3 linked regions of the Caenorhabditis elegans genome follow. The protein of the gene in region 2 interacts with the protein of the main gene of each other region in a pairwise test. Each region holds a gene or a part of one and is shown on either strand. Other genes may lie near its edges. The genes, in order: unc-9, hum-6 and pxl-1.

The links.
Region 1: the proteins of hum-6 (region 2) and unc-9 interact in a two-hybrid assay, tested with the Caenorhabditis elegans proteins (one study listed by BioGRID).
Region 3: the proteins of hum-6 (region 2) and pxl-1 interact in a two-hybrid assay, tested with the Caenorhabditis elegans proteins (one study listed by BioGRID).

Annotation. Positions count from the first base shown.
Region 1 is NC_003284.9:13,208,326-13,219,441, reverse strand, and holds unc-9 (Innexin unc-9), read right to left. Parts: upstream 7,053-11,116; 5' UTR 7,011-7,052; coding exon 6,899-7,010; intron 6,470-6,898; coding exon 6,434-6,469; intron 6,382-6,433; coding exon 6,231-6,381; intron 6,180-6,230; coding exon 6,088-6,179; intron 5,601-6,087; coding exon 5,473-5,600; intron 5,026-5,472; coding exon 4,607-5,025; intron 4,487-4,606; coding exon 4,387-4,486; intron 3,738-4,386; coding exon 3,615-3,737; 3' UTR 2,717-3,614; downstream 1-2,716. Other genes in the region: asp-4 (Aspartic protease 4), read left to right, coding at 1-163, 217-367; R12H7.4 (G_PROTEIN_RECEP_F2_4 domain-containing protein), read right to left, coding at 511-615, 665-916, 963-1,049, 1,279-1,513, 1,558-1,695, 1,746-1,834, 1,879-1,981, 2,031-2,104 and 1 more. UniProt on the Caenorhabditis elegans protein: Structural component of gap junctions. Plays a role in maintaining gap junction activity to promote locomotion.
Region 2 is NC_003284.9:2,299,294-2,308,442, reverse strand, and holds the start of hum-6 (Unconventional myosin heavy chain 6), read right to left. Parts: upstream 5,362-9,149; 5' UTR 5,323-5,361; coding exon 5,305-5,322; intron 5,249-5,304; coding exon 5,138-5,248; intron 4,951-5,137; coding exon 4,804-4,950; intron 4,757-4,803; coding exon 4,572-4,756; intron 4,038-4,571; coding exon 3,823-4,037; intron 3,780-3,822; coding exon 3,616-3,779; intron 3,571-3,615; coding exon 3,161-3,570; intron 3,116-3,160; coding exon 2,950-3,115; intron 2,901-2,949; coding exon 1,881-2,900; intron 1,838-1,880; coding exon 1,715-1,837; intron 298-1,714; coding exon 196-297; intron 151-195; coding exon 1-150. UniProt on the Caenorhabditis elegans protein: Myosins are actin-based motor molecules with ATPase activity. Unconventional myosins serve in intracellular movements. Their highly divergent tails are presumed to bind to membranous compartments, which would be moved relative to actin filaments.
Region 3 is NC_003281.10:5,887,290-5,899,477, reverse strand, and holds pxl-1 (Paxillin homolog 1), read left to right. Parts: upstream 1-3,466; 5' UTR 3,467-3,471; coding exon 3,472-3,517; intron 3,518-3,798; coding exon 3,799-3,928; intron 3,929-4,003; coding exon 4,004-4,092; intron 4,093-4,138; coding exon 4,139-4,232; intron 4,233-5,191; exon of another isoform or gene 5,192-5,249; coding exon of another isoform or gene 5,250-5,347; coding exon 5,348-5,399; intron 5,400-7,053; coding exon 7,054-7,200; intron 7,201-7,459; coding exon 7,460-7,633; intron 7,634-7,875; coding exon 7,876-7,971; intron 7,972-8,019; coding exon 8,020-8,154; intron 8,155-8,800; coding exon 8,801-9,079; 3' UTR 9,080-9,205; downstream 9,206-12,188. Other genes in the region: C28H8.8 (uncharacterized protein), read left to right, coding at 10,703-10,765, 11,068-11,202, 11,246-11,368, 11,418-11,625, 12,010-12,188. UniProt on the Caenorhabditis elegans protein: Required for myofilament organization of the pharyngeal sarcomeres and for pharyngeal muscle contractions and hence for pharyngeal pumping. Together with lin-8, might be required for myofilament organization in the body wall muscles.

The sequences.
Region 1 (11,116 bases), about 11 Mb from region 2:
TCTCTTTTGTGATCGGAGGACAAGAGTTCAGTCTTAAGGGAGAAGACTATGTCCTTAAGGTTTCACAGGGTGGAAAGACTATTTGCTTGTCTGGATTTATGGGAATCGATCTCCCAGAACGCGTTGGAGAGCTCTGGATTCTTGGAGATGTCTTCATTGGAAGGTGAGCCATATCTTTTCTCAAATTAAACATTGACGAACCCAATGAAAAATCAGGTACTATTCCGTCTTCGATTTTGATCAGAACCGTGTCGGATTTGCTCAAGCTAAGACCGCCGATGGCCGTCCAGTTGATCCAGCTCCACGACCATTCCGTTCTGTCTTCGACAACGAAAGTGAGGAATCCATGGAACAAGACGACGAATAATCAACACGTTATTTTTCTCACAAATCCAGGTTTTTAAAATATTTTTAATTCATTGGCTTTATAAAACACTTTATGTTTAATAAATATTTTTCTATCAACACAATTGAAGGCACATAATCGAAAAATGCGATCATTTAGCGCCACTAAGCAACAGATGGACGAAACAAAATGTCTCCACTGTTTCCGCTATTGCTCGAATCGGTGAGCCATGAGTAGAATTTTTGAGACTCTGTGTGCTTTGTGGGGTCCTAGAAAAATAAATATAGTAGACACATCAAAATTGATAGCAACACTCACCAGTCCTTTTCCTCTTTGTGTTGATTTTTTCGGACTACTATTTCCTGATGTCTCATCTGGCTCTTTCGAGTCGCCAGCTCCAGGTTGCTTTTCTGGATTTTCATCTTCATTTTCTAGAGGTGTTTTTTCCTGAGGATTTTCAATCTTCTCATCTTCTTCATCATCTTTATCTTTTTCATATGTTGAAGGTTTCGGTGGACACATAGCGTATAAACTAGCAAAACACCCCGAACCAGCCCACTTCTGACAGGTCTGAAAAGCAAAAAAACAGACTGTGCATGAAAAATCAGTTGCTTACATTCAAATGTCCATATGTGTGGCAAACAAAAAGAGCTGGTCCAAATAGGAGTGTCATGAAGGTGACCAGAATAAACAAGTAGAGTTTCTGAATTGAATTTTATTAAAGCCATAGTTTCATGCATATCTGGCTCAAAAACAATTAGCGGTTTGATAATTGCAATAAATTAAAATGACGTTTTGCATAATAGTAACAGTTTGTTCATACGTATGATCTAAAAATTCACGAATGGTTTTTATAGTTTACTTCGAAAGTGTAACTTTTTTAAAAATTTCTTTCTATTCAAAACTATAGAAGAACACAAATGTATCCGAACCTGGTGTTCTGCAGCAAATAATATCATAAGCCAAATGCTGAATATATACTGCGAAATCAAAACCAATGATTTTACTGATCTTCTCGCCCAATAGCATTGATAAATATCTTGAGATGGTAGTTGCCGGTCGCATGCAATACACGCTAGTTGCGCTTTCAGCCCAGCTAACGTTAAAATAACCCATACCGGAATCACAAACCCCCAAAGCATATCCACAGTGGAAATGGCAGAACAGCTGGAAATCGATAACGTTTATTATAAAGTCTGAAAGTGTCCCACTGTAAATATGCTGTTCCATAATATTTTTTCTCTGGAAAATATGTCGCTAACGTTGGTCCTATTGCAAGAACAATCGGGAAGATGTAGTACAAAATCCACGGAATACTTCCGTTTTTATCGGATTTTCCATGCACCATTCTGAAATTTGACACTGAAAAACGTGAATATAATTAGAATATTTCACTTACGACGATGCGAATAATGCTTCCGCAAAGAATATTGAAGCTGTCAGGCACATGAAAAAATGATTGAAAATCGCCACAAATTTGCAGATATTCTAAATATACAAACTTCTCTGAGTTTATTTTGTTAATTACTCACTGATTTATGATTGAATACAAAGTTAAGAATACACATGCAAACTGCCAGGAGAATAATTGAAAGTTCTTCGTAAAAGTGTACATATCGTTGGTGCCCTTTATTCCTGAAATGTTACAAATCTCGACTCGAAAAAATACTATCAGATAACTTACTTATGGCAAATATTTACCAATATAGTTATTAAGCACCATACTATTATCCAGCCACCACAAAAATACATAAGGTACTGAAATTAAAAAAAAAGAAATAAATGGAAGTATTCAAACACATTTCAAACCTTCACTATATCGCTCTGGTTATCTGATAAAACTGTTTCATAACATCTTTGTAAAAGGTTATCAGTGATATTAGTTGGTTCGGCAGTTGTTGTAGTGGTTGTTGTAGAGTTTGTGTCAGTAGAATTAGTGGAACTATTATTATTTGACATATTCGACCACACACCGAGCACAAAACAAGAAGAAATGAGTTGCGTAGGATGGTTGGTGTTTGCAAACTGTTTCCCCGGAAACTGGGATCGAATATTCCAATAGCTCTATTGTGACATCTTGTGATGTTTTTTTGAATAGCCTGGTTTTTGGATCTTCTAGTCTTTGCAGAGCAAGTGAGGTTTGTTTCGAAAATGACAGTGAAAAAAGTAAAGAATTCTAATAGATTTAAACATTCTTCAAAAACTTAATTAATTTACAACCTTCAAAATGTCTGTAAATTTTGTGACGGTTTTTATATAGTTTTTCAAAAAAATATATTTTGCCATTTTTCTTTTCTATTTAATTGTTTTTATTTGCAAAGCAAGTATGCTATTTTCCTCTACTATAAAATTACTGAGAAGTAGAATGAAAAATTGTTATTTTATTCATTTTCAAATAATATTAAATAATCCAAATCCACAATAAAATATGGCAAAGTTTGTGGGTTCCGTTTTCAAAACTTTGGTGAAAACTGAACATTGGCAGGTGGATGATGAAGACAAACTGGAAGAAATATGAATTACAGGGCGAGAAAGTTAATTTTTGTATCAAGTGAGTTTGGGGGGAAGGACAAAAATTATCTATATTACAAACGTGAATCCAGGTAATTTGAAAAGACATGATGCCATTTGAAAGAAACCACAGAAGGAAGGAGAAGTGGGAGGATGGGGGGAAAGGGAATAAAATTGGAGAAAAAAATTACAAAAGACTTTTGGGAGTTAATTTTAGAGGAAATTTAGGTATAATAATTTGAAAGTTATGAACATTCATAAAGACAACCGCGTCATTAAAGTTTTGATAAATTGATAATAGAAAATTTGGAAATTGGTAAATAGAATTTACAAAAAAAAAATTAGAAAACAATTGAATTAAATGTGAAATTGACAAAAAGCTCGAGGTGAAAATGACAATGGATCGATAAAGTTTTGAGCAACTTTTTGAAGTATTCAATTGAGAAATTTAAAAATTGATTCAATACAAAAGTTTAAAAGTTTTGGCACTCTTCTAAAACCCTCCAAAATTGTTTAGTTTTGGTTTTCAAGAGAATTATGATGAGGAGGAAAAGATAAGTGAATAGTTTCCATTGATCTGGATGTTTAAATGCAGTTGATGATTCGATATTTTCTAGCAACAGAAAATTGAGAATATCAGCTAAAGACGACTACACCCATTGACGACAATTCTATGATTTTCGAAAGTGAGATTTCATGATCAAAATTTGAGAACTGGTGTTAGAAGAAATTGAAAAAGCTACGAAGTTGGGGTGTGTCACACGTCGTGCATTTTTCCTTCTTTATTGTCACAGTAGTTGTTCCATAACGTTTTCGCAAGCTCGTAACAGGGTAGTTCTCCGGCGTGAGTTGCAACCATACGAAGTAGGAAAACACCATCCTGAAATGGGGTTTAATTTCGGTCAGTGTAAAAGTTATTTCTTTTTTTTTCACAATAGTGCAAATCTAATAAAATTAATTGGTGTTCAAGATACGTATAATTTGGTTGACATTATTGATAGTTATATCAAAAACTTATGAACCGGGAAAGTTCTAACTACTGTATATTATTTGTTTTACTAACTCACGGTGGTTTTAAATACGTCTTTAACAGGATTGCAGTTAAAATTTCTCTTGGAAATTTTAATTGCAGTTTTGTTTTTTTAAGAGTAAAACAACAACTAGCTCAAAAGTTAGCACTGCAGCTTTCATTAATTTTGCCCAGTCGTATTTCATTTAAAACCTATTGTATGACTTCGCGATAGAAGAAATACGGTATGTTTCTTTTCTATATTTCTGTAGTTTCACAGTCATTGAAATTTTTTTCAAAAAATCAATGAAAGCTGTCAATTCGTGAAGAAGGGTGCATATCTAATATGCGAAGTCTGTCATATTAAAAAATCTGCTTAGAAATCTCTAAAATTTCATTTGTTCTATCTTACTCTAAATTCCATGAGCTTTTTCCAATATTTAAAATTTTTGAACATGAAGTTCTTTTGTTTTTCGCCGCACTTCATTTTTTGTTTCGGTTTTTCCAAAGGTTAAATTACCTGTCTTAAAAAGTGAAATACAAAACGTCGTAGTGATTGCGAATCCACCATTTTATATCCCTCGATTCCAGTCAGATACTTTCCAACAAAGTTGAGCTGCCTGCAGTGAAAACATTACGTGAATGAGTCTTTCGTTCACTTTTTGAAAAGCTAATTGAGACAAATGGGTGCACATTTGTTTTTCGTCATGTTTAAAATGTTTTTAACATGATCAACATACCTGCTTGGCACCACTGAAATGTAGATCCAGTAGAAAAGCGAGCACAAAGTAGCACCGGCAAGAAGGAAGTACCAGAACCACAAGAACAGAAAGATCTTCTCGTTGAACATGTTAATCATAAGTACACATTGTACTGTATGTCGGTGCACGTTTCCCAGTACTTTTACTTCAAAGTCACATAACGTTACACGTGGAAAATGACCAGACTCCTCCCATTCTCGTCCGTTCATCAAGTCGTTGAGAACTTGCAGTCCGTACCATTTGCTACGGTTACCGAGAAACGTGTTCAGTAGAAAGATTTGGCCGACGATGTTCACGGTGTACAGAATTTTGACAGAGATATAGAGGAACGTGACAGCAGCACCGGAAGATCGTGTGCAAATAATCAAGTTGAGCAGTTTCAGACGATTTCCGGACATCTGTAAAATTAAAAATAATAAGATTAGAAGAAAAACCGAAAAAATCTGATGATAAACAAAAATTTTCAGAAATCGTTGTTTTTTTTTCAGTTTTGAAGGAGTTCTCCGAGAGGGGTGTGGAGCATCAAAAATTCAGATCTCAAAACTTAGGTTTACGGAGCTTCAATGCTTTGAATCAGATTATCTCTAGAATAGGTGTACCCCGATCATTGATAACTGGTAACTCTATTTTTTTTTTTGCGGAATGTTTTGCGGAATGTAGCTTGAATTGGTTAAAATTGAACTGTTAGTAATGCAAATCAGAAAAGTAAAAAACGTTTACATATATTCTTATTATTATTAATATTATTGGCTGTGATTATGCTTGAAGGTACACAGCAGGGCGACTCAAAGACGCTAGAATGTTTTGTGCGTATTGGGTACTCTTGTGTTTTACAGTTTTCATACCACTTGATGTTTCACGTGTAGCGCTTCTTCTACATTTGTTGCGATGGTTTGCAACGCTCTGTTCCTCGATTCCAAATCCAACAATCTGGAGTCACAAGCCATTTGAACCAGAGACTGCACATGAATTCCTGAAATTTGCCTATTTAGCTTATATATTAGAATTCCTGAATTTTATTTTTTTTTGCTCCCTAAAAAATTTTTAGTCCTAAACAACAACAAGCAAGAAGCTTTCAAAAAAAAAGAAAATTTATGTATACTCCCTCGAGGTGAGAGAAGGAGAGGAAAGCTTCGAAGCGCTTGAGGCGAAAAGTATCGACGAAGGCCCGCGCATTCATTCCGCGATATTTTTGTTGTTCTTCTTCTTCACGCCGTTCTTGACGCTTTTTCTTCGTTTTTTTCTTGAAAACAACAATTTTGTTTTTTGCTATTTGGTAGTAGGCTGATGCTTCGGACCTCACGTCACATATTTATGTGTCTTCCTGGATATATTTTTAGGTAATGCAAATTCGTTCAAATTGCAAAATGCATCCACTACACGTTTTATTATTTTAATACTTACAATACAAAAAGTAACTGGTAAAATTGGAGACTCTATTTTGCAATCGAAGTACCTACCTGATTGCCAGCTGAGCAGTCTCCATACAATAGTCGGCACATAGAAAAGAAGAGCTTCAAGAGCTAACACAAACGGAACCCATTGATAATACCTGAAAAATTGTTCGTTTTTTAATGAGACTCTTAGATTAACAGAGCCTAACCCGATTTGTCGATTTTCACGTTCTGCATAGTTATGTGGAATGTAGTCGTGTAAAGGGAGAAAGTAGGTGTTTTGAACCCAACAATAGTTTTCCGTGTACTGCTCCATGGGCTCGGTGAACGTCGCAGGTACCCAACATTGGATTGGAAAACCTAGAAAAGGTTTGTTGACAGTGAGAATATGATAGAAAATGTTTGGTCTTACCGACATACTGTTTAGCAGAGACGAGAATCGCGAACACTGAAAATTAAGAAATTATTGGAGAAAAATTCATTTATATGGGAGAACGGGAGATAGATAATATGAACTAGAGACGTGTTTTTTTATGGCTTCAAAATTGCCATAATTAATGTTGAATTTCTTTTTCAATGTCTATTTTATCAAATGATTTTTTGATTTCAAGCTCCTTCAAAACATTTATTTCAAACTTTTTCTATTTCAATACTTCCCAACGGTTCAGAAACACATGCTTGATTGGAAACATCTTTGATCAAAAATGTAACAAAATGAAAGGGAGAGCAAGTCCTTGGTCCTTGGTTAATGGGTACTAATTCATGAAGATTTATTTTCATTTTAAACCTTTTCGGTTCTCTTTCATGTGTTTTTTTGTAAACCAGTATGCTATGTTTCATCAAAAAGTTTGATACATTTTATTTAAGAAAAGAATACCTGTGATAATGGCTGTGGTGTAATAGTAGTTAAGCTTGTCAATAATGTCATCATCGACGTGAAACTGTATTGACTTCACAGCACTCGCGAAATAATACAATAGCATACTCATCCTAAGTCATGTCGTGACGGCGCCCGTAGCGCCTTTTCCGATCTGAAAAAAAAATTTGATGTAAGGATATGACGGGAAAACAAGAGATGAAAAATACGGGCAGAAATGGAGAATGGATGATGTTCTAGTAATTTTTGTTTGAAAACATGTCTTGTTCGGACATTGGAAGGGTGCGAAAAATGTGGAAAACAGGAGCTGGGGAGCCGGAGGTGGTGGAAAATAGAAGTGAACGACGGACGACAACGTCTGTTGATGGCAGCCAGGTCGTTCTAATTATGCATTGGAAAAAAAAAGAAAAAGCGTCGGGAACAAGGAATGGCGAAGGAAGGGAGAAACTTGAAGGAGAAAAAGGGGAATGGCGTTTTGCTGTTGGAGGATTTTTTTTTCAAATTTTGAAAAATTGAATGCGACTTTTAAATATTTTTAATAATTGAAAGGCTACCGTGAGAATTTTTGATTTTTACAAGAAAATGCAAAGCAAACGAAAACAAAACAACTAAGGCAAAGTTCGGGATTCTTATGATTTTTTTTCCCATTTTTTGAAACTAAAACTTTATATTTGTGAAACTGTCAAAAAAAAATTCAGTAAAACCTATCGTATTTTTTATCAAATTTAATGTTCGATTCAAACCTACCCATATATCGTGGCCTATTGTTCTGATTTGTGGTCATCTTAAACAAATTTTTTAATGAAAAGACGATAATTTGAAGAAAATATCATTTTTAATGTTTAAAATATGAAAAAAGTTAACATAAAAGCTCCAAAAGAATATTTATGCAGCAAATCAGAGAATCCCTAGTTAATAGCAATTAAAGTATACATTTTCTACATGCGTAATACAAATTTATCTATATTCCGAATGTTCTTTCAGAATCTAAAAATTATCTTGACAGAGTCTTTCACAGGAATCTATTACTGACATCCTGAATTCTAATTAAGAAGCTATTGTATGAACCTACATTTTAAAACGAAAAAGGAATGGAGCAAGAGCAAAAGTTCAGGTGGACTCAACTTGTAGTTCACACTAGAGTTGAACTCTGCCAGGACCAAAGAAGAGTGCATGAATTTCAAATCAGGAGACGGGAATTGGCGGCTTTGTTGCCGAAATCTCAAGGTTTTACAAAACTTACGAAAAGTGCCATCAGTGTTTCTAGGTTAAAAATTGTCCTGTCGCTAGTGGGATGATGTCAGTCAATCCAAAAACCAACTAGCGCGTTTCGCGATTATATATTTTTGAAAAAAGCTGTGTTCAGATGAAAAGGTACAAAAATTCTAAGAAAATCCAATGAAATCTACTGAAAATGGCCGAAAAAAAAAACAGTTCAATTCTCGTTAAATATCTTGATAATTCAATTCCGTATTTCAACCAAACTACTTTCACAAGAACATTGGAAACAATTAAAACCATAACTCAGTACAATGGGAAATATCTATGTGAGGCACCTTCTAATAGTAAAAAAATTTACTAGCCTGCTCGAGAAAATGCATACTAGAGAGACAGATAAAGAGAGAAGGAGGTCTCCTGGCTTACTCCACGTTTTCTTATTCCTCCTCTCGCTTTTCTTTCTTTTCTTTCGTCTTCCACGAATTTTGATGGCCAATTGAAGAAAACGAGAGAGGGAGCCGGGGACGTGGAGCGAGTGGACAGAGAGCAGTGGGAAAATGAAGACATAGACAGCCCCACATATATACCCGAAAACCACACGGAGTAAGAAAAAAGAAAAAAAAAGAAGAAGCATCACATTGGCACACTATTTTTCCTTCCTTTTCTCTCATTTTCCTTCTGAATTTCGCATCCAGTGAAGAGAAGAGGGTCCCTTTTTGTCCCCTTTTCTTTTTCCTTTCTTCTGTCTCCTGTGGCTCTGTCCCTGAATGACGTGATGCACTGCATTTGCACAAAAGCTGATGGAGAGAAATGAAGAATGACAAAAAACGGATAAAGATGAAGACATTGGCAGAAGAAAACAACGGCTGCATAATTAGTGGTGTGCATTGAAATGTGAAAAAGATAAGAATGAATATGCATTTTTTTTCTTCCCCATCTTATTTCTTATTCTGATCCTTCAATTTTTTCCGTTTCATTAGCTATATTTGCACAGAAAATTTCAGATAAATAAACAAAATATTGCGTGATAAGGTACGGTCAACGTACTTACATAAACTTTTTAAATAAGCACCTACACGTACTCCGTGCTTGTAAAACGAATTTGTTCAACCTAGCAGAGTTGGAACAATGTGAGAAGTCATTACGGAATAAAAAAAAAGACTCAAATGATAGATCACACCGGAAAATCTAGTGAACAAACATTAAAGGGGAACCTGATCTGTTTAATTATTAACTTTGAATACTAAAATAGTACGAAAGTTATAAAATTAAAAAAAAATCATAAGCATCTTGCTTTATGTGAAGCTCGAATCTTACTTTTGAGCATTGATTTTAACATTTCAAATATTTTTTGGAAGTTTTCAAATTGACTGTCTCTCTAAGCAATCGATTCCCTTGCAAGTTTCAAACTATCACTAATTGAAAAACTGAAAATTATATCCTGATTTACTTTTCTTCGTAGAAAGGTATTTTCTTGAAACAAGTCAGAAAACCAGATTTTTAAGACCGAACCATGAAAATTGTTCCCATCTTCCAGCTCTCAATTTCAATTTGTAGTAGTCTCGTCGCATGAGCGGAAAAAGTAAAACCTAGCGGAAAATAAGAAAGGAAAGAGTGCTCAAGTCTGAACCTCGACCACCACCTCAAAACAATTCCTATTCGTTGTTTTGCCGCCCGTTGCTCTCTCGAGACTAACTAATCAGAAGAAAAATAGAAGCGAACCTATTATGTATAAACGATTTTTCTCCTCAGAAAACGAGTATATGTGTGCTTCGCCGCAGTAATAAGTAGGAGAGTTGCTCTCGGTCTTCTAAACATTTTCGGGTAGCGGCACAAAGTACTGTAGTATGAGAACAAAAATTGAGTGAAATTTTTTTTTGACAAACCGGAAATGGGAAAGGACTTCTGACAATGGGGCCAAGGAAGTTACACATTATATTAAAGCAGCACACGCACATGCACAAAAAAGAAATAAAAAAGGGGAAGAAACAAGTTGTGAAGAGTGAATAAAGGAGCATATACACATACATACATACACAAAAGTTTTTTTTTGGTATAGATTGAAAGGAGGAGGGGACCAATGGACCTGGTTGGACGTGGAAGATTCTAAAGTGTCGTGTTGCGGAATTTTGCATACTCTCTCTCCCTTCCTCTCTCAATTTCTTACGCTTTTTTCCAGTTTTCTCACTGAGCTGTGGAGTTTTCTCCCCCGTTTTCCATTGCCGTTGGAGAAGAAAAAAGGAGACGGGCCACGCCACGGCGGCGGCGGCGTCGACGAGAAGGACGACTTCAAGAGCCAAAATCGATGTTGTAGAAGGACTCGAAAAAAAAATGAAAAAAATTCCAGGTTGTTCGTTAATTCCAAACGTGTTGTTCTAATCTTTATCAAATACTGAAAAGTTAAGAGTAAAATTTGGAAACTCTGAAATGAAATGTCGAGCGGCTGAAATACACAAATAGGATTCTGAATTATTTTCAAGTATTTTACGGTATATTTATTAAAATTGACAGTCAACTAATATTTTGGCAATAGACGGTAAGGTTGCAATTCTCAATATCGGCTGCAAACTTACCAAAAAGCTTCACAAAGGTGCACTACACACTATCAGCTAAATTTGTACACACTGAGCTTGCTTTTTGTTACACAAATATAAAATTGCATGAAAAAGATGTAGGAACACTTTAGATCGGTCTAAGCTACAGAAACATTGGCATTTTCAAGTTTAAGATGGAGTAATCTTATATGATTTTTTTTGAGGTAATATATATGCACATCCCGAAAAAAAATGTAAGCGATAAAAATATGCTTAAATTTGCTGTATTATTCGCCTGTTAAAAAAAGGCTGCACCAACTTTTAATGACCATGCGCCACGCGAAAACAAGAACAAACAATATAACCAATTTAATTAGAAAAAATGAAAGTGAATAACAATAAGTATAGGACAATATCAACTTCTTTCAAAATGACATGTTTTATGTCTCAAAAAATAGAATAGTGG
Region 2 (9,149 bases):
CGCAGTTTTCAATGGCTTCTTAACATGAGTCGCAGTGGCTTGAGCTTGGAAGAATGTTGCCGCGTACTTTCCGAATTGATATTTACTGAGATCTTCATCTACGTACGAGTCAACTCTTGGGATGTTTGCTGGTGGCATTACAGGAGATGTCTAAAATAAAATAATTACAAGCTTAACTGAAATTAATTTCCTTACATGAAGTCTAGAATAGGATCCACGTCTGCTGCTATCCGCACTATCATTTTCGTTCCCAGAATCTTTCCCGTCAGATGGCAAGAAGTCGAACAAATGACCAACCTGAAAATACACAGTTAATTCAGAAGTAAAAGCACCTCCCGAAAAAAAAAATTCAGTAGAGAAGAACCATAGAATGCACACAACTAGCACAACATTTTCAACGTTACCTTCGAGTTTCTCCCATCTAACAATTCGAACTGAATATTTTAGAAATCAGGTATTTTAGGTATTCACTTTTGTGTTTTGAAGGTGGAGTAGATTAGGCCTTCCTTTACTCCCGCACGCCCGTGCGCCCGCAAAATCGCAGTCTGTGTACTGCGGCCGACGCTACACAAGTCCGCGCGTCGCTATATCTGCGTGGTGTCTGCGAAGCTGTGGTGTGGTACAGGTAGGGGTGGCAAGAGTGCGACCTAGGTCGCTAGGTCGCTGTTTTCATTTAGGTCGCATCGCGACCTAGGTCGCATTGCGACCTGCAACCTAGCGACCTGGGTCGCATTGCGACCTGCGACCTAGCGACCTAGGTCGCTTTGCGACCTGAAGTACTGACATTTTGTGCTCTTTCGGTTTTGATTCACTTGAGTTGTCAAAATCTGTATAACTCGAAAACTACATAAGATTGCAGAATATGTATACTAACAAATTGCTACAAATCATTTATTTTACATTGTTTTCGATGTCTTATCCATAAGACACCTTGTCGAAAAAGTTAGAACAGCCGACATCCGCCGGATTTGCTGCTGACTAAAATTGTTTCAACTTGAAAACTATGGTACTAATGGGTTTCGTTCCCCCCGAAATGTTTTAACTTTCTAAATTTCAATTTTTTTTGTAGAATTGTAGAATTTGTAGAAATCAATGCTTTGTTTTGTGCTTTTTTTCTACGTTTTTAATTCGGTCGCAGGTCGCAAAGCGACCCAGGTCGCTAGGTCGCAGGTCGCAAGGTCGCAGGTCGCAAAGCGACCTAGGTCGCTAGGTCGCAGGTCGCGATGCGACCTAACCCTCTAGGTCGCAGGTCGACATAGGTCGACCTATAGCCACCCCTAGGTACAGGCGTACGAGAGTAGCGCCCTCGTGGAAGGCTTAGAGTAGGTATTGTGGGTATTTTGCTTAATTATACTGAAACTTTCTTAAAGCGACCAAACTTCGTGATGGGACTTCTCAAAACATTTCGAAAAATGTTTTATGGTGGGTCAAAATTTCCAAAAAAAAAAGAGCTGAATTTTCCTAATGAAACTGGGATTTTGAACTAGTTTTAGTATATTACGGGACCATGAGGTCATGAGAATGCCTCTTTACTGGCGCGAAAATATTTGCAGGCCGCGGCAGCAAGATAACATGTGGCGAAGAGAGACGCAGGTCCCTTCGCTACGTGATATTTGCCGCCAGAAAAGTAGACATTCTCATGATATCGTGGTTCCATAAAATTCATACAATGTACCCACAATCTATACTCCTCACATAAATTGCCTAAACTCACTAATTCCTCATGTGAATCCGAAATAACTGAAGCAGTGGATGAAACTTCTGTGAGTGGTGCTTTCTCGCCTCGTTTTCGCTTTTCTCCAACCTGACGACGTACTAGAGACCCGCGGCATACAGCCTAAAATTGACAATAGTGTAAGTTCCTATGATTATTATCTAACTTGAAATTGGATGATTGTCTTTCGTAGAGTTTGATAATGTGACACCAATTGTCTCGAACGCAAAACAGCCTGAAGGCGTGAGAAACCGGAAATAATCTGACGATATCTTTTCCTTTGGTCAAAACCTCTCCATGCAGTTTGAATGGTGACAGCAGCTTGTCTTTGCTTCTCAAAGTCTTTTCTCACTAACCATCTCCTGACATTTTTCTGAATAACAATTGCCTTATCCTTCAATATGCGGTAGTACTCTTGCTCCAGAACCAAGTCGTGTTTATCTTTCAGAAAGACTTTAGTTTTTCCAAGTTGATAGTCAGCATTTGTTCCAAGAATCATGTGGCAAATTTTTTTGGCTGCATCGTGCAAATCGATCCTGTTCACTGGTCCCTGGATGGAAGAAACTAAGACACGATAACGGAAGACAAATGGATAGTAGTCATGACGAATCGGATAACCACTCCTTCTGATTTTGATAGTCTCCATCATTCCGGAATAGCGAAGCTGTCTTAATACAAGATCTCTATCCATCACAAGTGCTCTCTTCATCTCATTCGGCTTGATGCATCTGATGAAAAATGGATGTGTTTGAGTCAACTGGGACATAAGTTGCTCCAACGATCTTCGGAATTGATTTCCGACGGTCACCTTCTTTCTGGAGCTTGTGTCGTATTCTATGTCGTCGAATAATCGAGCAAGGAATGGCATTTTTGATGAGGAAATGAGCACGGACAAGTCGGCTGAAAAGGAATCTCGATTCTTTTCGAGGAAACCTCGTGTGTTGTAAAACACATTTCCAGCAAAATGAGTGACTCCAAATGCTCTCTGAAGCTCAGATTTTGGCTGCAAATAGAGCTCGTTTCTGCCATGTGTTGAATGAAGTTTGAGCAGCATTGTCTTATCAGTTCCTTTTGGGAAAATACTTTCCTCATCAATAAGAGACAAAATATTCAACGGTCTCTGAGCAATCAAATCGACTGTAGCCTGATTATCGACAAATTTTATGTGACGCCAGTTAATGTGCTCCTGCAATGTTGAATAAATTTTATTTTTCAGATTGAAATATGAAAACTACCTCATCATACTCCTTCTGCTCCATCTTAAACACATGGTGAACAAAGAATTGTTGTAATGTCTCATTTGCAAAGTTAATGCAAAGTTGCTCAAAACTATTACTTTCAAAATTTTCAAACCCAAAGATATCAAGAATTCCGATAGATGTTCTTCTTGACTGCGACGGTCTTAAAAATAAATTTCAAAATATTTTTTAAACTAACCTAACTCACTTGTAAATTGCATCGTTCACTCTTCTAACGATATGAATGAATAATTTTCCATAAATTGCCTTCGCAAGGGCATCTCTTGCATCGACGGCTTGTTGACCATTCAATCTAGAGATCACTCGTTCTTCGCGCGTTACTAAGCTTTTAGTAGTAATTGCGTCAAGAAGATTTTGCTCGTGGAGTTGCAAAAGTTTTGCAATTCTGACAAGAGTTGATGGATCGGCTACATCAACTGATTCCATGTTGTCATTCGTATTCTGTCGGAATCTGATGTTTCCAATATGAAGAAGAGATGCCAAAAGTTTGAAGATACTTCCAATTTCTTGCTCGTTGATCATGAGAACTCGCATTGCGGATCGGATTTCAGCCAAATCGGCAGCATCATCACGGCCTTCTGCTGTCAGTGTTTTTCCCTAAAGTTCAATTGATGTCGACGAGTCAACCTTTATAAAGCTTACTTGAATCAAATAATAATAATCAGCAGCTGTTCCTAATTCTAGCTCCGACTTTTCTTCTCTGGACAGTCCTGCCAACAAACAATAAAATATATGGTAATTTCTCTCATTCTCTGATTGAGTAACAATTCTCGATTTCTCCAACAAATATTGTTCAATTTTCGCTCCTAAAACAATACATCTCAATATGTTCCCACTTGTCAATCAAACCTTCAATAGATCCACTCTCGTTAAAATGTACATCAATGTATTTTCCAAATCGAGACGAGTTATCATTGCGGATGGTCTTCGCATTACCAAATGCTTCGAGAACCGGATTTGCTTCTAGGACTTGCTGTTCGATCCAGCTGTGTTGTCCACTGATTGTTGCCAAAAACTGGAGGACCAGTTTTGTGGATTCAGTTTTTCCTGCACCAGATTCGCCACTGAAAAAGAAAATTGCTCAAAATTTTCGTTTTTTTATTTACTATGTAGTCTGGAACTCCAAAAAAAAATTTGTTGTTGTAGTTTAGTTTAAAGATGAGAGTGTTTGCTTTAAAAAGTAAAAAAAAACAATGTTTTCAAATTTTGAGCGCTTTTAGATGGTAAAAGTGTGATTTTGGCGTGAAAAGTAACTGAAAATTGCAGAAAATTCAGAATTTTCAAGATAAAAATTGGCTGAGAGTTTTCGGAGTTTTCAAGTGGAAATACTTCAGGTTTTAAGTTCTAAAGTTTATGGAAAATATTTTTTGGGTGGAAATTGTTGGAAAATGGCTGAAAAAATTAGAATTTTATTGGTTAAACTTGAAAATTTTAAAGTAAAACTTGGGACTTTTAATAAGAAAACTTGACAATTTTTCAGAAAATTTAGATTTTAGTTACGAAGTAAAAATTCTAATTGTTATGCTACTGGAGAGGCTTTTTCTGTTTTTTTTTTAAATAATTTTTGTGAAAAAATGCTCCTTGTCTAAAAAACGAACCTGATAATGACAGATTGATTTTTCTTTTCCCTCCTCATATTTGTATACGCATTATCAGCAATTGCAAAAATGTGGGGTGGAAGCTCTCCGATTCGTTTCCTTTTGTACATCCGAATCTCATCAGCTGTATAGATAGCAATGTCCATATATGGATTTACTGCTATCAAAATTGAACCAGTATAGGCCTAAAATTGTCTAACTAACTTTTTGCGATATTTCTTTAATTGCTTACATAAATAAGTTTTTCTCTGTATCTGATAAATAAATTTCTCAAAATCGCACTCTCATGAAAATCGCCCAGCTGACACATGTCTTCCACACCCTGAACTGATGTCGGATGCATCAGCCTGACCCGTCGATCCGCCGATAGCCATTGTTCCTGAATTGTACTTTTACATTCTCTCCCTCAACAAAAATTGCAACACGACCACCGCGCAACTTATCAAATGCGTGATAAAATGTTAATGTTAAAGAGATGCCCGCAGTGATGCGAAAGTAGGAAACGGATTGAGGTCAATGTTGCGGTATCAGTGAAAAATGTTCAAAACAGTGGTGTCAAAACGTACATTTCCAAGATCGTCAATCACTTTCAAACGTCCATGGTCTTGGTCGATGACGCGTGCTCCAATTGGAATCGATCCCTCTGTTTTTCCGGGCTCAATCCAGATGAAGTCACCCTGAGAAAATATACTACGTAATACAAGCGGCTGAGCAAATAATATTGGATGGTTACCTTGCTTACTAATACCATTGTTGTTGATTTACAAAGTCATTGGAGCACAGATTATCTGAAAAAACTGATTTTCGTTAAGGAATATCTTTTATAAAATTCAAAACGATTCAAGTTTCAAAGATTCAAAGAAAAATTAACCAATAAAAACGTGTGCTTTCAAATACTTGAAGGCGGAGTACCGAAATCTGAGACTTTGCCTTTTTAGACCCAAAATGACCCAACAATTTTTTTTTGATTTTATCTGAAAATGAGCTTTTTTTGCAGAACTTTGAACAGCCGTAATTTTTTTTTGAGAAATTTTCAAAACGTCTCATTACGAAACTCGGTTGTTTTGGGTCGTTTTAGGTTTAAAAAAACAAAGTCTCAGATTTCGGCACTCCACTTTTAAAATGGTTCGAAGTCAAGAAAACATCATAATTTTAGCTAAAATCTCAAAATTGTGCAAATTTACCGTGTCAATTTCCGGCTGCTGAGAAGCAAAAATGCTGGGGAAACTGGAGATTTTAGATGCATTTAAGTGAATATTTTTGAAGTATTGAACCGCCATAAAATTATTAAAAACATTTATTGGAAAGTTTTGTTATGAAAGTCTGTTTTTGAGCCATTTTGAATCTAACAAAGCAAAAAAAACTAAAAAATTCAGACAAATTATAATCATGCTCTAAAAGTTTTCTTCTACTTATACTAGTATGATATTAAATTCACAAAAAAAGTCAAGAATTACCTATGTATATAGAAGTAATAAAAACGGCAGGCAAATGAAATTTGAAATTTAAATCAAAACCTTGAACAAGATAGAAAGAAAGATAAGAAACGCTTCAAATGAGTACAGCGCTACAAAAAGAACATATGGTATTCAGTAAAAGTTGGGAGCTACATAGCTGAGCAAATGTACTCAAAACAGTCATGAACACGAGTTTATACACAAAATATGCATAGGTTCAATAAGCCGAAAGTACACAGAAACCCGCAGGTTTTCCGAATAAAGACGTTCGCCGTCTGTGTTCGGATTTTCTTTCTCTTTTACACATTCTTATTTGTTGACAAATGTATTGGCTGGGGAGAGAGAGGGGGCCCGGGGTCTGCAAGTGATGAGTCCGAGCGACTTTTGGGGGGGGGGGGGGGGGGGGGGGGTTTGAGAGAGAAACACTGTGATATTTGACCACGGTTAATCCGAAATGCGCGGACTATCTCTCCGTCATCTTCCGCACTGTTTCTAACAGCCGCTCCTCCGGCCGCAATTGTCTTCGGTCAAATTAGCTAGCCAATACTATTTTCTCATTTTCTTTCTCTCTTTATCGCCTTCCAAATAAATGAGGTCATCTTTAGAGAGGATTACATAAAATTCTAATTACTCAGATTTTTAAGATTTTCAAAAGTTCATTACAATAAGGGATATCACATTCACATTGCAATATGTCAAATTAAAAAAAAAACTGAAGTGCTGAAATTTTATCAGCCCCATTGCTTCAGTTAATTGTACTAAAAAAACCCGATGAATTGACAAAAAAAAATACACGACAGCAAGCCCAGCTGGAACGGGGAACAAAAGCACAGAGAGAGAGCTTTTTGAAATAAACAACAAATATTTGCATTTCTTATGTATAGATGGACAGTCAAAATTGAGGTCACTCAAAGAAATGAGATAAGCTTGGGCAACAGCGGCCTAACAACTAGTATCCCTATATGAGACCGGGAAATGTATGACTACACCAACTACTTGTTTCGATGCAAATTGCATTCTTCTTGTAATGTTTCTCATTCTTAGCAGATATCAGGAAAGGAATGAGGATGATAATGGAATTAGTTTTTGATGGGGGGAGATGTGATCGAATGAAAGTGATAGTTAGAAAAGAGTGAATGAGGGAAAATCACTGGATGAATGCAATTGAATAGGGAAGATACTCTCACGGCACTTCATAAATCAGCTTGAAGCATCATTTGCCCAACTATAGAATATTCATCTTTATTATTAGCAACATATAATTAAGACACATTTTTTGGCAAACGTACTCATATGAAATGTCACAGTAGATGCTCCAAATTGGAAATTAGAACGTGATTTTTTTTAGACAAGTACAACTTATGGGGATAATATAAATTAATGTTTTATTGATATGAAATGAAAAATAGCTGCGGTGTTGAGTTTGTAAAAATTTTAATCCAAAATTTTTTAAAGATCCTATTTTTTCCCTTTAGGAGTTCGTTATGGTTTTTGTTCAAAAATTTGTTCTGAGATCATTTGATTCGCAAAGAAGCTTTAATTAGACTTCAAGAATGTTTTTGCTAAAAGCTATGCCACAAGGTGAGGTTAGTTTTTGCCACTTTTTTGGAAGTCGTCGATCATAGAAAAGTATTCCGTTGAGTTTTGGGGTCTACATACGTTTCGAATATTAATATACAAAACTTTAATTTTAAATATTGTAGGCATTGAAACATGTTACAGTGCTGTAGTTTTTTTCCCAAAAATTGACAAAAACTCTGTAATTGCCACTGTCAATAAAAGTTTTTCAAACGTTTTTTTTGAAAAGTTTTACTATGACTTTGGCCATTTTGGCACCGCTACTACACCTATAAATACCGTTTTTTCTGTTGGAAATATAGCTGCAATACTAATTTTCAGATCATTTTTTTGAGCTGGGGCTTACTAGTTTGTACTTGAAAGATTTCCAGTTTTATTTGGAAATTTAGAAAATTTACTTATAGCTGCAACAAAAATGTTCATGAATAACTTCAGTTTCATAGAAATTTTGTGAAAAATTGTTGCAAAACTGGCAAAAAAATGTTGTCAAAATCTTAAAATTAGTGAGGCTGGTTTGCACCAAAAAAATAGACGCAGGACTGTTAGGGAGTGCAATACTAATAGGAAGTGCAAATCTAATAGGGAGACCATACTGATAGAAGAAATACGGTATATCAAAAACTTTGCGTGCAATATCATTGAATACAGCATGCAACATTTCAGCAAAAACTTTTTGACTAAATTATGGTTTTGAAAAAAAATTAATTCAAAAAACGTTTTTCCGCATTCCATGTCGAGACGGCTAGGGGGTATGACATAACGATACTCCAAAAAACGTGTTATCTCCACTTGAGTTTTTAGGAGTGAAAATAAGAAAAACATTGATGAAGCGGAGAAGGTGGGAGGAAGCAAATATTGTTCAGCAAAAAAGAGGAGATGCAGAATAAGCGAAACAGTTGTTTAACGCCATAAGTGGACACTACGGAGGCCAAAAGACACAACGACTGTGGAAGAGCCTAGCCGATCCATTGTTTCGCCACCGGTGCGCGGCTTTGTGCACTTGGCCCTGGCGCTGGATTTTGACAAAAAGCAACAAGATGATCGATCATGAAGTGGAATTGTGGTGGGGGTGGTCGTTTGGCGAGTATAGTTGAAGCTTTCGTAGTCGGAAGAGTAATTGGATAGGTAATCGGATATGGTCCTTATTATATATGTTTGCCAGATTAAGAAGTCTCGAGACTAAGTGAAATTTTCTGGAAGAATGGAGAAAGGGAAGCAGTGATCAGCTGCTAAAATGGAGCAAAGCTGATAATATGGAAATTTAAAAAAAAAACACCTAAAATAATCTTTACAAAGTTGTAAGTTCCAAACAAAAAAATTGCACAATGTCTTGAAAACTCTATCCGCCAGATAGAACACTTCGAAATGGGAACGGAAGCTGGTCAATGTAATGCAGTCATCATGCGCACGGTCTGCGTGTCCGCGCGTTTTCGGCTCACTCACGGCTTTCCGGACAGCTCGCGCGAAACCGCGCACAGAGCGAAAACCCAAGACGACGGCAAGCCGGGGAAAACGACAAAAATAGCTCTCATATGGATGACGG
Region 3 (12,188 bases), on a different chromosome or scaffold from region 2:
AATACCTGAATATTCGAGAGAAATGAAATATGATACATGTTGAGATTCAAGAGGTCCCTCATGCACTTCTTGCTCACTTATACGCTAGGTTCTAGTTTAAACTTCGTCTATTATCAGAATTTGGCAATACAAAATTGTGTAAAAATGTTTTAATTTCAAGACAACATATGCCCCTCTATTAAAATTTGAAATCACCCCCAAAAAGGAAGGTGTGTACTGCGTTTTGACATTCAAATCTTTCAATATTCACAAAAGTTTAATATTTTCCAAATTTTTTGCATTGTTCCTTGTTCCAATATGTAAAAAATATTTATTCTGTGCAATTTAATTTTAACTGCAAGAGGTGCATGAAAACTGGAGGGAATATTGTAATAAGATAAACTCTGGAATTTTCAAAAACATGATCAATTTTGAATATTTAACATTATATGTCAAAGTTTGATACAAAATGCATACCAATTTGATGTGTTCTTCTCAAAACCCACACTTTCTTCGGTCTCAATTGTATCCTCTCTTTCTCTTTTCCTTCTGTTGTACTTCCTTCCCTTCTACTTCATTCTCTTTTTCTATAAAATCTTCTCTAAAATCGTCGTTTTCTTCTTCTTCTTGATCATTTCCGCCCACCTATCACTTTTTCCCTCATGATGCCCGCTCACTTGTTTAGCAACACGAACAGCTGTGATTTGCCTCTTGCCACTGATTCCAATCACTTTTCTCCTCAGCTTTTTCTATTGATATTTCAATTTTTGTTTCATATTTTTGATTTTTTTTTCTAAATTTGGCTCCGCCCATTCATAGATGTCTGTGAACTCCTTCCTGCTCCGTATAGAATTATTAAAGTTTTAATGGTATAGAAGAAAAACTAAAAATACAATTCAAAGTGTTGAATAAAAAAATAATTTATATATCTATGTGTCTACTTACCGTCTATTTTCTGAATTTTTTGTTTGAAGATTTACGAATTTCCCCGATTTTGGTAATTTCAAATTATAGAATTAAATGTGAAATGTTCGCGTACAAAAACGGGTGTATACAAGCTGGCATTTTTTACCTACTTGCCTTAAAAACTTGAATCTTGAATACGGTACGTGGTCCCGAAAATAAAATTGGTGACCGAATTTTCTTACGGGACAGTGTAAAAAATTATCCCATATTTTAAGAATTTATAATAATTTTGTTTTCTAAATTTTCCACAAATTCCGTCTTCCACAACTGATCCCTAGGTACACTCTCCTTTCGAAACCTACTTGAAACATTTTGCAAACTTTTTTTCTGTTTGAATTACGATATGCTCGTATGTGTCTCTTCGGATCTCCATGATCTTTTCAAAGTCATTTCGATGGTTTTATTTATATCCGTGGCGGCGCAAACTTGTCATCAAAAAGTTAAAGCATGCGGTGGGAGGCGAGAGACACTCTTGACGCGTTTTTTTGTTTTACTGTGAGCAGATCTCTTGAGTCTCTTGGAGACTTTTTTTGCTAGCTTCACTAACTATTACAAGACATTTTAGAGCATAGTTTTCTTTCTAACCAGTGGAGAGTTTTATCTAGAGTCTTTAGAGCCAGTACCATTAATAAATTTCATCAATTGTATAGAGCCACATTTTTAGAAACTGTATCATTTTTAGATCAACCGTCGTACTTACTATCTTACGGCAGCCGTTTAGTTACATTTCAATCGAATTCAATTCGAATTCCCTCAAGCCTGTGTACATCTCAATCTCTTCCTCCCGCTCATTCTTGATTCAAAAACAAAAACTTTGCCTCCATTTCTTCCCGCTCTTTTCTATGTGTCGTTTATGTGTCTGTCTCTGTATCTCTTTAACTTTCACACTATTTCCTTTTATCGTCTATCTCTTCTCTTTTTTGAAGAAACTCCTAAAGATTAAGGGCCAAGATCATGAAGAATTCCCATGTTCCATTTTCTAGTTTTTCCTTAAATCAAATAATATTCTGGTAAAATAATAGTTTCAAGAAGTTTCAAGAACTTCCAAACAACTTTCACAATATACCGTAGAAATTCATAAAAGTTTTGACATTTCTCATTTTTCATGCATGATTGGCATGTTCCTTTAGTACTCGATCCGGTTTCACAACACCGTTTAAAATGTGATCTATTCAAACGGAATATGTGATTTCAATGTATCTCTTGTCATAGGGAGACTTCTGCTACTTGGCCGAGAAAAGGGATACCTCGGTCATCGCTTTCTTTGGCGGTCATGTTGCTAATAATTTATTTAGATTTTCCAAAAATTTTTTTTTTCGAAAAAGAGAGATTGGATTACTAGATTGGATTACTGATTTGACTTTCAAGGTTTTTTTAAATATTTCCTCGTTATCGATCCCTTTTCCAAGTACCAATTATTTCCAGCAACCTGGATTATTTTCTAATTAAATTTCAATTCAATTAGCAAAAACATGTACTAGGAATATGTGTAATTGAAAAAACTCTTAACGAACTGAATTGCATAAAACCATTCCTATATGTTGCTAAAATGTCCTAATATCATAGAAAACGGTTCAAATGTTTTTTTAAAATAGTGTAGTCAAAAAGTGGCTAGTTCTCACCTTCTTAATTTTGGAATTCTACAAAAAAGTTTTTTTTTCACAATTTTAAATTTGAACCAAAATTATCTTAACACTTTTTCACAATTAAACTAAGTTTTCCTATTGATCAAGCTTTAACTAATATCAAAATGATCATTCCTATTCTGAGAAGCAAATTAATCAAATTAAAATATATGGAAAGTAGACATATCTACATTAAAAAATTTTTTATGGGAAAATAGACACTTCTAATTTAAATTTTTTTAATGAAAAGTAGACACTTCTACTTTAAAAATTTGAGAGGTGAAGTGTCTACTTACTATTAGACATCCTTTTCAATATTTTAAAAACTTAGGCTACTGGATTATTTTCTGAGGATTCCTCATCAAACTGTAATTTTTATAAATAAAAATTTGTATTTTTGTTATCCAGATGCTATTCTTTTTTCAATGTTTTGTACTTCTTTTATGTCATCTCCATAAATCTTTTTTCCTTCTCCTCCTCTTTCTTTCTTCCTTTTTTCTTTTTTTTTGTCGGCTTCTTCATCGTTTTTTGTCTTCTTCCTCCCACTTTTTTCCACTCACTCACACATATTTTGACACATTCTCTCACATTTTTAGTGGTCCCCATACACATGCATACACACTCATCTATTATTGCACTTTTCCTTCTTTTATACACCCTCATTGGTACCGTTTTTTACTATTTTGAACATCTTGTTGTAAATTCGATCAATTGATAATTTGTTGATTTTCCGAAACTTGACTAAGCCGTCGGGTTGCATTCTGAGGTTCTGAAATAACTGAATTTTGGACTTTTTATAAAATCCAATTACATTATAACTTCTAATAAAGCTCTTTCGTCCGCCTTTTAATTGTTTTTTTCTTGATTTTCTCCTGAACATTTTTTGAATATTTCAGTAAGAATGCCAAGCGACGATCGTTTTGCGGATGCGGTTAAACCAGCTTTAGGTACCCAAGAACTTTCTAATGGAGGCTTTCCGGTGGAGAAATGCTCCCAGTAGTAGTCGTAGTACTAGTTTGGAAATTATGAGTTTTTTGATTAATGGGAAACTTATTAATATTTGGATGGAATTATCATAATTTTGAAAATTTATATGATTTTCATACTTGATAGTTTTCAATAATAAAATTCTTAAAAAGTGGGTTTTCACTTTTCAATTTGAAACATTGAAGAGTTCAAATTCTGTAATTGAAACAAAAAATAAATAAATATATTATTTTAATTTCAGAAGCCCTTCTATCGGATCTTCAACACACCACAGAAGTGCTCCGCCGTGCTCATATAAGTGATCGCCGCTCACAGAGTCGTGATGATTTTGAGCAATCCTATGATCTTCAGGGAAATCTTAACACACAGAGGTTAGTTTTTTTTTAATGTTACAAACCTTTCCATACATGTTTTAACATAAACTAAACATCTAATATTTGTGTCAGTGTGAGCAATGGAAATATAACCACTTCACCCTACAAACGTCGTTCGTCAGAAGGAAAAGATTATTCAAAAAGTCAGGAAAGGATTTATGGTTTGTTTTTCATGTAAAGAACATTAATATGTAATTGTATCTGTAGAAAATGAATCAAGACTTAACCCACCAGTCTATTCACGTCCAAGTGTCCAAAGTCTATTGTCTCAAGTCGAAGAACCACCAATTCGAGCAAGCAGGTAGGAGAAAACGTTTTTTGTTTTTTTGAAAACATTTTTATCTTCGGAGTCATATTTTGAAATTCGTGGCCTAGAAAAACCTTTTAAAAAGCTATACTATGAGTCAATTTAAATATTAATTTCAAATCTTCTGATTTAATAATTTCAAGAATCTTGCGATTAGGATTCTTAAAAGGAAAAATTTAAAAAATTTTGATTGGCACTTTCAAAAAAATCTGTAAAACATTAACATCTTACATCTGAGAATGCGAAAATATAAATCAATGGCCTAGAACACACAAAAAATGTTAGACCAACAATTCAGAATTTAGAATTCTATTAGGCATTTTAATTCGAAAATTCATAATTTTTTGTAGCCTAGAAAGTTCACTTAAGGCCTCGACATTTTTATAAGATTTGTTGAAAATTGTTAATTTTTATATCAACATTTTTTGTGCATCTTCAAAAAAATTGAAAACTTATGTATATCACGAAAATTGGTTCAGATATATATTTTTTTAATTTCTAAAAGCTTTCCAGACAACAAAAGAAAAATGGCCTTTAAGTTCCAAAAATAGCTCCGAAAATAAAAATGTTGAAAATATAAAACTAGAAAATTCCGATTTGAAATGGTCAAGCCCGTTTATCAAAATGCCAACTCCGTGTTCCATTTTCCCGCCGGCTCTTAGGTCATTTCCCGTGTTTCTGCGTCTAAAATCCCGGGAACAAACAAAAACTCAAATGTGAAGGGAAGAACGAGAAAAAAGACTAATAACATACACGCATATTACTTCTACTCGTCTCATCCCGTGTCGCAAATCATCTCTTCTTCCCCGGTACAGAGGAGGAGCCGGTTATTTTATTTTTCACTGAGTTTCTTCGTCTTGCTCAGTATCTCTTGAGCTCAACAGGGGTAAAATGCTGTAGGGCGGGAGAGTACCTACTCTCTATCAAGTGAGAAAGAAAAATATAGAGAAAAGGAGCAGCACACCTTTTTCTTTTCCACGCACACAACACTTTTACCTATCACTTGGCGGAATGATGCGCGAGTTGCAACAACGGCTTGACCATTTCAATGGTCCAAATTATGCACAAAATAGTCATTCAAACCACCAACAACATCATTCGGTTTATAGCTCACGCAAGAGTCTCGGACCACCAAGTCAGGCACAATCCTACTCTGATGTCGTAAGTTTTTATTTCTTTTCGGGGGGAGCTTCTGGGAAGGGAAACTGAAATGTTTTCGTTGGGAGACCTTAATTAAAAATGTCCTTAAATTAGAATTTTCAAAATCCCAGAATCTTCATTAAACTTTCCCAATCTCTACAAATCTAATTCCGGATATTTCTGTGTTCACAAATTTTAAAACCTAATTTACTGATCCTGAACGATATGTATTCAACTTAGACGCAAACTTTATGAATTTGTAGTTTTTCCTATTTTGGTCACATGACTACAAAGTAGAAAATTCGGTCATTCTTTTAAAATAAAGGTTTCTTGAAATTTTTGGGACTTTTTGAAATAAAAATAATTTCAAAATGTTTTTTGAAATATTCAATTTACTGTCAAAAATTGGCAATTACTCGGGTTTTGCCACTGGTAATTCAAGAAATCCACCAGAATATTATTTAATTTTTGTTCAATTGTTCTAAGTTGACCATTTCTTGACAAAACTTTCAAAAATCTCAAGAAAAAATGTAGAGTGTTTAAATATGGTATTAGGTCATGATGGACTATTACTAGTATGGTTTATCAAAATCCACAATTCTTTCACTTAAACGTCATTGCTCCAATTTGAAAGATCATAAAAGATTTGGCAACATTTCACAACATAGTCTCCTCATTTAATTTGAATACATTGCTCATCTTGCTTGTTTTGTAGGATTCCATTAATCCCAAATGCAAGCGTATCCCCATAAAATTCAGATGCTCCACTACTTCCTCTGCTTCTTCTTTTCCCTTATTTTCATGTTCTGAGAGCAACTATTTGTCTCCCTCGTTTTCGTCACATTTTTCAAAAACTTTTCAGTTTCATATTTTACAACATAGTAAAAGGAGAGGAAGCAACAAAAAAAAAACGAAAAGTGGAGCGAAATTTCTGTTTGTAAAACCTTCTTTTATTGCCGCGTGGCTCTTTCTTTTACGTGGAAACACGTGCTAGAGAGTATGTGAGAAGAAGAGACACAGACGAGCTCCACGAGCAAACAGTACGGGGGGCTTCTAGAGGTTGAAGCGGGGGTGTAAATGAAGGTGAAACGATGGGAATAGAGAAAGGGAGATATTGTTAGCTTTTCCTTGGTTTTTGATGAGAAACCTTTTGGAATGAGGTCATATGGAACGATTTTTAGTGTATTTTGATGACTATTTGGGAAGGGGATCTAAATTTCGAAATTACAAAGTTCGGGTTTACAGAGGATAAATAAAAACATAGGGAAAATACTTCCATACCCCGCTATCAAAAACAGAATGACCTCGCTAAAAATACGCCGCGGCAATTTTACTAATTTTTCACAGAAAGTTTCCAAAAGCATTCTAGAAATGGATTTGTATACTTTTGTGTGGTCTAAAAGATCATTACGTAAATTAGAAAATAAAAATTACCCCGTTTTTTTGGCATATTGCACCTTTTCTGTTGCCACTTACCAATGTTCAGTCATTTTTCATTTTATTAGTTTTTCAGCTTACTTTCCGACAAAAACCTTTTTCCATTAACTATAAGTAAATATGCCAATTCCAACAAAACATACACACACAAACATAAATTTGTCATAATGGTCTCGCAACGAATGAAAACACACATTTCCAATCGTTGCCCATATACATAAAAACGTGGAACTTATAGAGATCGAACGGTCGGTCTCCATCAAGAGACCCACTGCATTCGGATTCAATGATTGGAACAATGAATGGAGAATTGAGCTCAAAACATGGAGTCAATACAATTCCAAAAGGAGATTGTGCTGCCTGTGGAAAACCGATTATTGGACAGGTGAGCGTTTTAATAAAACAATTCTAGAATATGTGAAAAGTTCTAGGATTTATTAATTTCGCTGTGTATTACTGTTTGGCATCCTGAAATTTAATTCTGATTAACTGTGACGTAGGACAGTTCAAAATAATGTTCTCGCGGTATTTAGTTAAACTACGAGACTCTAGAAATTTCCTCAGAATAGTTTTAAAAAGAATTATTAAATTTCAACTTTGGAATGTCCAGAAAATCAAATTTGAAAAATAAAACCATTTTTCAGGTCGTCATTGCTCTTGGCAAAATGTGGCATCCGGAGCATTACACTTGCTGTGAATGCGGTGCCGAACTTGGACAACGCCCATTCTTTGAGAGAAATGGACGTGCTTTTTGTGAAGAAGATTATCACAATCAATTCAGTCCAAAGTGCCAAGGATGTCATCGAGCCATCACTGATGTAAGTGACGTTACAAAATTCTTAGTCATAAATATTTGGTACAATTGGATAATAGTGAATACAGAATATTGTGCATGATTTGTAGTATTTCCAGTTTTGAATGTACAACGAAAAACGCCGATTAGTGGAGTTTTGCAAAAATTAATGTGGACACAAGTTTAATAGTGTTTTTTTTTGTTAATCATCTTGAATATATTTTCATGAAATAAAAATGATTAGAGAAACAAAATTTAAGTTTCCAGAGATGTGTGAGTGTAATGAACAAGAACTTCCACATTGAATGCTTCACGTGTGCAGAATGCAATCAACCATTCGGAGAGGATGGATTCCATGAGAAGGTTGGTTAAAAAAATCCGTTTGAAAAGCCTTTCAGTTTACACTTTCAGAATGGACAAACCTATTGCAAACGTGACTTCTTCCGTCTATTCGCCCCAAAATGCAATGGCTGCTCTCAACCAATCACCTCAAACTTTATCACCGCTTTGGGAACTCATTGGCATCCGGATTGTTTTGTCTGTCAGGTATTTTTAGTTCATTATCATTTGTTAAACAAGGAAGTCAATTCAAAAATTAAAGAAACCATCGAAAACCGATTGTGCGGTATGTTTCTTGTCGGTGTCTCTCTATTCGTCTATTCGTTTCGTTTTTTTTTTCTTACCCCTTTTTATTTTTAATGAGTGGAGCAAATTGGCTTGTGTGAAGTGCCAGAAAATATTATAATGAGAGGCTTTTCGTTGATAGTATGCTGCAGTGATAGAGTTTTGTGGTTTTTTTAATAGTAACATTTGAAGTTAAAAAAATAAAACTATATAAAACTAACTATAAGTGTTAGGTTTATATATTTTTAATTTTGAGCCAACTGACTGAGTTCACATGGGACCTATAAAATGTGCAAATTTACAAGTTTGATTGAACCTTCCAAAACTTCATATTAATAAAAACCTTGACCCCTAATATATTTTATAATACCATTAAAAAAGATGTTTCGGTTTTTCGGTTTATTGTATCTTTCCTTACCTAGTCGATATAGACATAATTAAGCATGAAATATTTTAGAATTATTCCTTTAGCTGTAGTCAATAGTTTTATTTTTGGAATAAAATATTATTTTTATTTTGGTGTGTCATCTGTAAACTTCCCTAAATATATGTGGATTGTTCTTTACAGCATTGCGGAGTTTCTTTCAATGGTGCAAGTTTCTTTGAGCACAACGGTGCTCCACTCTGTGAGCGACATTATCATGAATCTCGTGGTTCAATCTGTTCTCAATGTCGTGGAGCCATTAATGGAAGATGTGTAGCTGCAATGGGAAGAAAGTTCCATCCGGAACATTTTAGATGCTCATATTGTAATCATCAACTGACAAAAGGAACATTCAAAGAAGTTGATCGTCGGCCATTCTGTCATAAGTGTTATAATAATACGTATGCATTGACTCCTGCCTAATCTTTTTTTTTCTCTTTTTTGTCTCTCCTGTCTTTTTGTGGTTTTTCAAGTTTTTTGAAGGTGGTAACTGGAAAAGATAATTCAGTAATAGTTTAGAATATTAGGCTTGGATGAAATCGAATATAATATTTTTCTCTTTGAGATTTTCTAGTTCTCTAATGCCATACTTTTCAAAAATTTAAGTGTCAGCTAGCCTAAATCCATAGACTTCAGCTTGACATACAGGATTAAGCCTAAGCCTAAACCTATACCTTAACTTAAATTCCAGTCTACTCAATTCAAAAACCTTCCACCTTACCACACGTCCATTGTATAAAATATGAAAAAAAAAAGTAAATCAATTTTCAAAAAAAAACCAAAATTTTTATTAAAATTTCTACGCATTTCAAAATCAAAATTTCCTCCCCACCGCCATATCAAACTTTTCCCCCAGTCACTTTTTTTCTCAACTTTTAATTGCATTTTATCGGTCCCCCCACCCACCCTCCTTTATCTTAAAAAATGCTCAATTTCATTCAATACAGGGCAACACTCACTTCGCACAACAATGCCCAATGGATGTCACTTATTTTGAAGAGGAAAATGCTTATTGATATATTTTTCCCTGTCTCAATTTTGTTTTGATATCTAACTACCTGCTAATACTTTTTAAATTTTTAAATAAAGTGCGATTTTTTTAATTGGATTTTACTTTTTATAAAATGTTTCAGGTGACAAATGATTTTGATTATTTTGTAGACGATTTTTGTGAAGTTTTTTTTAGTGAAATAGAGGTAGACCTTTTTAATTTTAAATATTTTCAAAAGTCAAATTGAAACATGCATTTTGCAAATTTGAAAATTGAAAAAAAAAAAAACTAAAATAGTCACTGTCCAAAAAATTGTACAAATTATATTTGTTTGAAGCGTGGGACGGCTAACGGTAACATCAATTCTAAATCGGCGAACTTTGTACCGTAATTAAACTAACTAAAAATTAGATCAAAAGATTTACAAAAACGGGGGAGGCACTTGTGTTTGCAGGATGCTGAAAAACTGAAATGTTTGTACAGATTGATGTTGGAATTAATTCGAAAGGACACAAAAAGGCAAGTGTAGTTAAAAAGTCTAGTCATTCGAGGAATAAATCTTTTTAACTTGGAAGCTTTCAAACGACAAGAATTATGATTCGAGTTATTACAAATGGTAAGTTATTTCCTATTTCTGAAGACTGAGCAGTGGTGGGGTGGTCCACAAAACTTCAAAAAACTCTCTTAATTGCGCATTTGTAATTGTTTAGCTATTAAATTATGAAAAACTATTTTTATAAATTTTATATTAAAATAATAATTTACCTATACTCTCATTGTTCGGATTTCTCATTTAAAATTTAAACAAGTAGGCAAGAGTAGTCAAGGATTTTAGAGTTTTTGCTTCTTTTTGGTCATCAAAGGGAAATGCAACTACTGGTGAAACTTTAACCGTACTAATATTCGAAACACTTGCATAAGTTCGGAGAACAGTTTTATATTTCCGAAATGTACCAGAAAGTCATAAAAACGGTTTTTAGACACGCTTTTTATATTCTACGAAAATTTGTTCAGAACCGTCCTATATGGCTTCACGGTGGATGCACAACTTCAAAATGTTCATAATCCTATTTTTGTGCTTCACTGTTCTTTTCATGTTGTTCTATCCAGATTATAAAGTGAGTTTTGGATATTTTTTCATTTGAGAAAAACACCCCAGGCAACGACAAGTTTTTAGTTTGTACCAGTGATCTTTTTGAAACTTCCTTGAAATTTTATCAAAAAGAGCTTCCTTTAATTTTCCGGATGCAAAAGTCATGTAGTTTTTATATTTGCCGAAGCTACCAAATTTTTTGTTTTCACGGCCATGTTGCAAAAGTGTTATTTGGCACTAGGGTGGGGTACGGTAAATACATCTGTGGTTAGTAGCTACTCAAAATTTGTTCTTCCTACCATTGAATCTTTACAAACTGATGTTCAGGTACACCAATTGAGTTCATATAGTCGTGAAACTTCGCTTCCAATCACCAAAAACAGGCGCTTCTTGGAAGCAGCCGACGAATGGAAACAGTGCTTTCAGGAGAAACTGAAAAGGAGCAGAACCGATCCAAAAGAGGTTTAAATTGAACGATGATCCTGATATGACGTCATAATTTCAGATGTGGTACTGGGTGAAACGTGTGATTAATCAATGTAGAAATGAAACTGCATTTTCGAAAATCGAATTGACTGGTGTAAAGAACAAAGATGAGATGAAATATCATGTGTACAGTCCATCTCAGGTTTCTCAATTCCACCACAAAAAAACCAATTTAATTCAAAATTTGCCAGGAACCAAGTGTAGTAGTAACTCTTGGCATTGGTTTGGATGTGAAAGCAGAAACAACACTCAAGGAAACACTTCCGACGAATTCCCGATTCTATGCCGCCGATCCAATATACACTGGAAACGGAGAACTTTACGAACCTGTTGGGTCGTATTTCCCATTTGCTGTGGGAAAAGAAACTGATGTCTCGACAGCGTTGGTGCTTAAGAACCGTTAGTTTTCTTCAAATATTTATAGATTCAGCAGCCTAATGTTTCTAGAGGCTCACGTTTTAAATGTAAATTTTGGGCAGGTTCAGGACTTGACTCAAAGGTGAAATGGATTTTTTATCAATATATTTCTACCAATTAAAATATAATCAGACCTTGACTATTTGTTTTTTCTCACTTTGAAGGTAAGCTCACTGAGAAATATGAACCATAGACGATAAGCAGGCATGTAGGTTTGCCCACCAAATGCAACATATTTCGAGCACATGTGACATGTTCGAAGAATCATTTTTTCTACCACTATGAAAGCTGACTAAATATTGACCAAAGCTACTAATTTTTTTTGTAAAAAATTTTTACAAAAAAAAATTAGTGATTGAATCTCAGGGAAATATATAAATCAAGTGATGCCCCACATTGACATCATCACTTTCTTCAAAAAATTCGTAAAGGAATCCACGATAGATCAATTTTTGATGGACAATGAGGGACCCGAATACGATATCCTTCCGATGATGGCTCGCGGAGCAGAATTCGATCAAAATGGGATAGTAGTGTGTCAAATG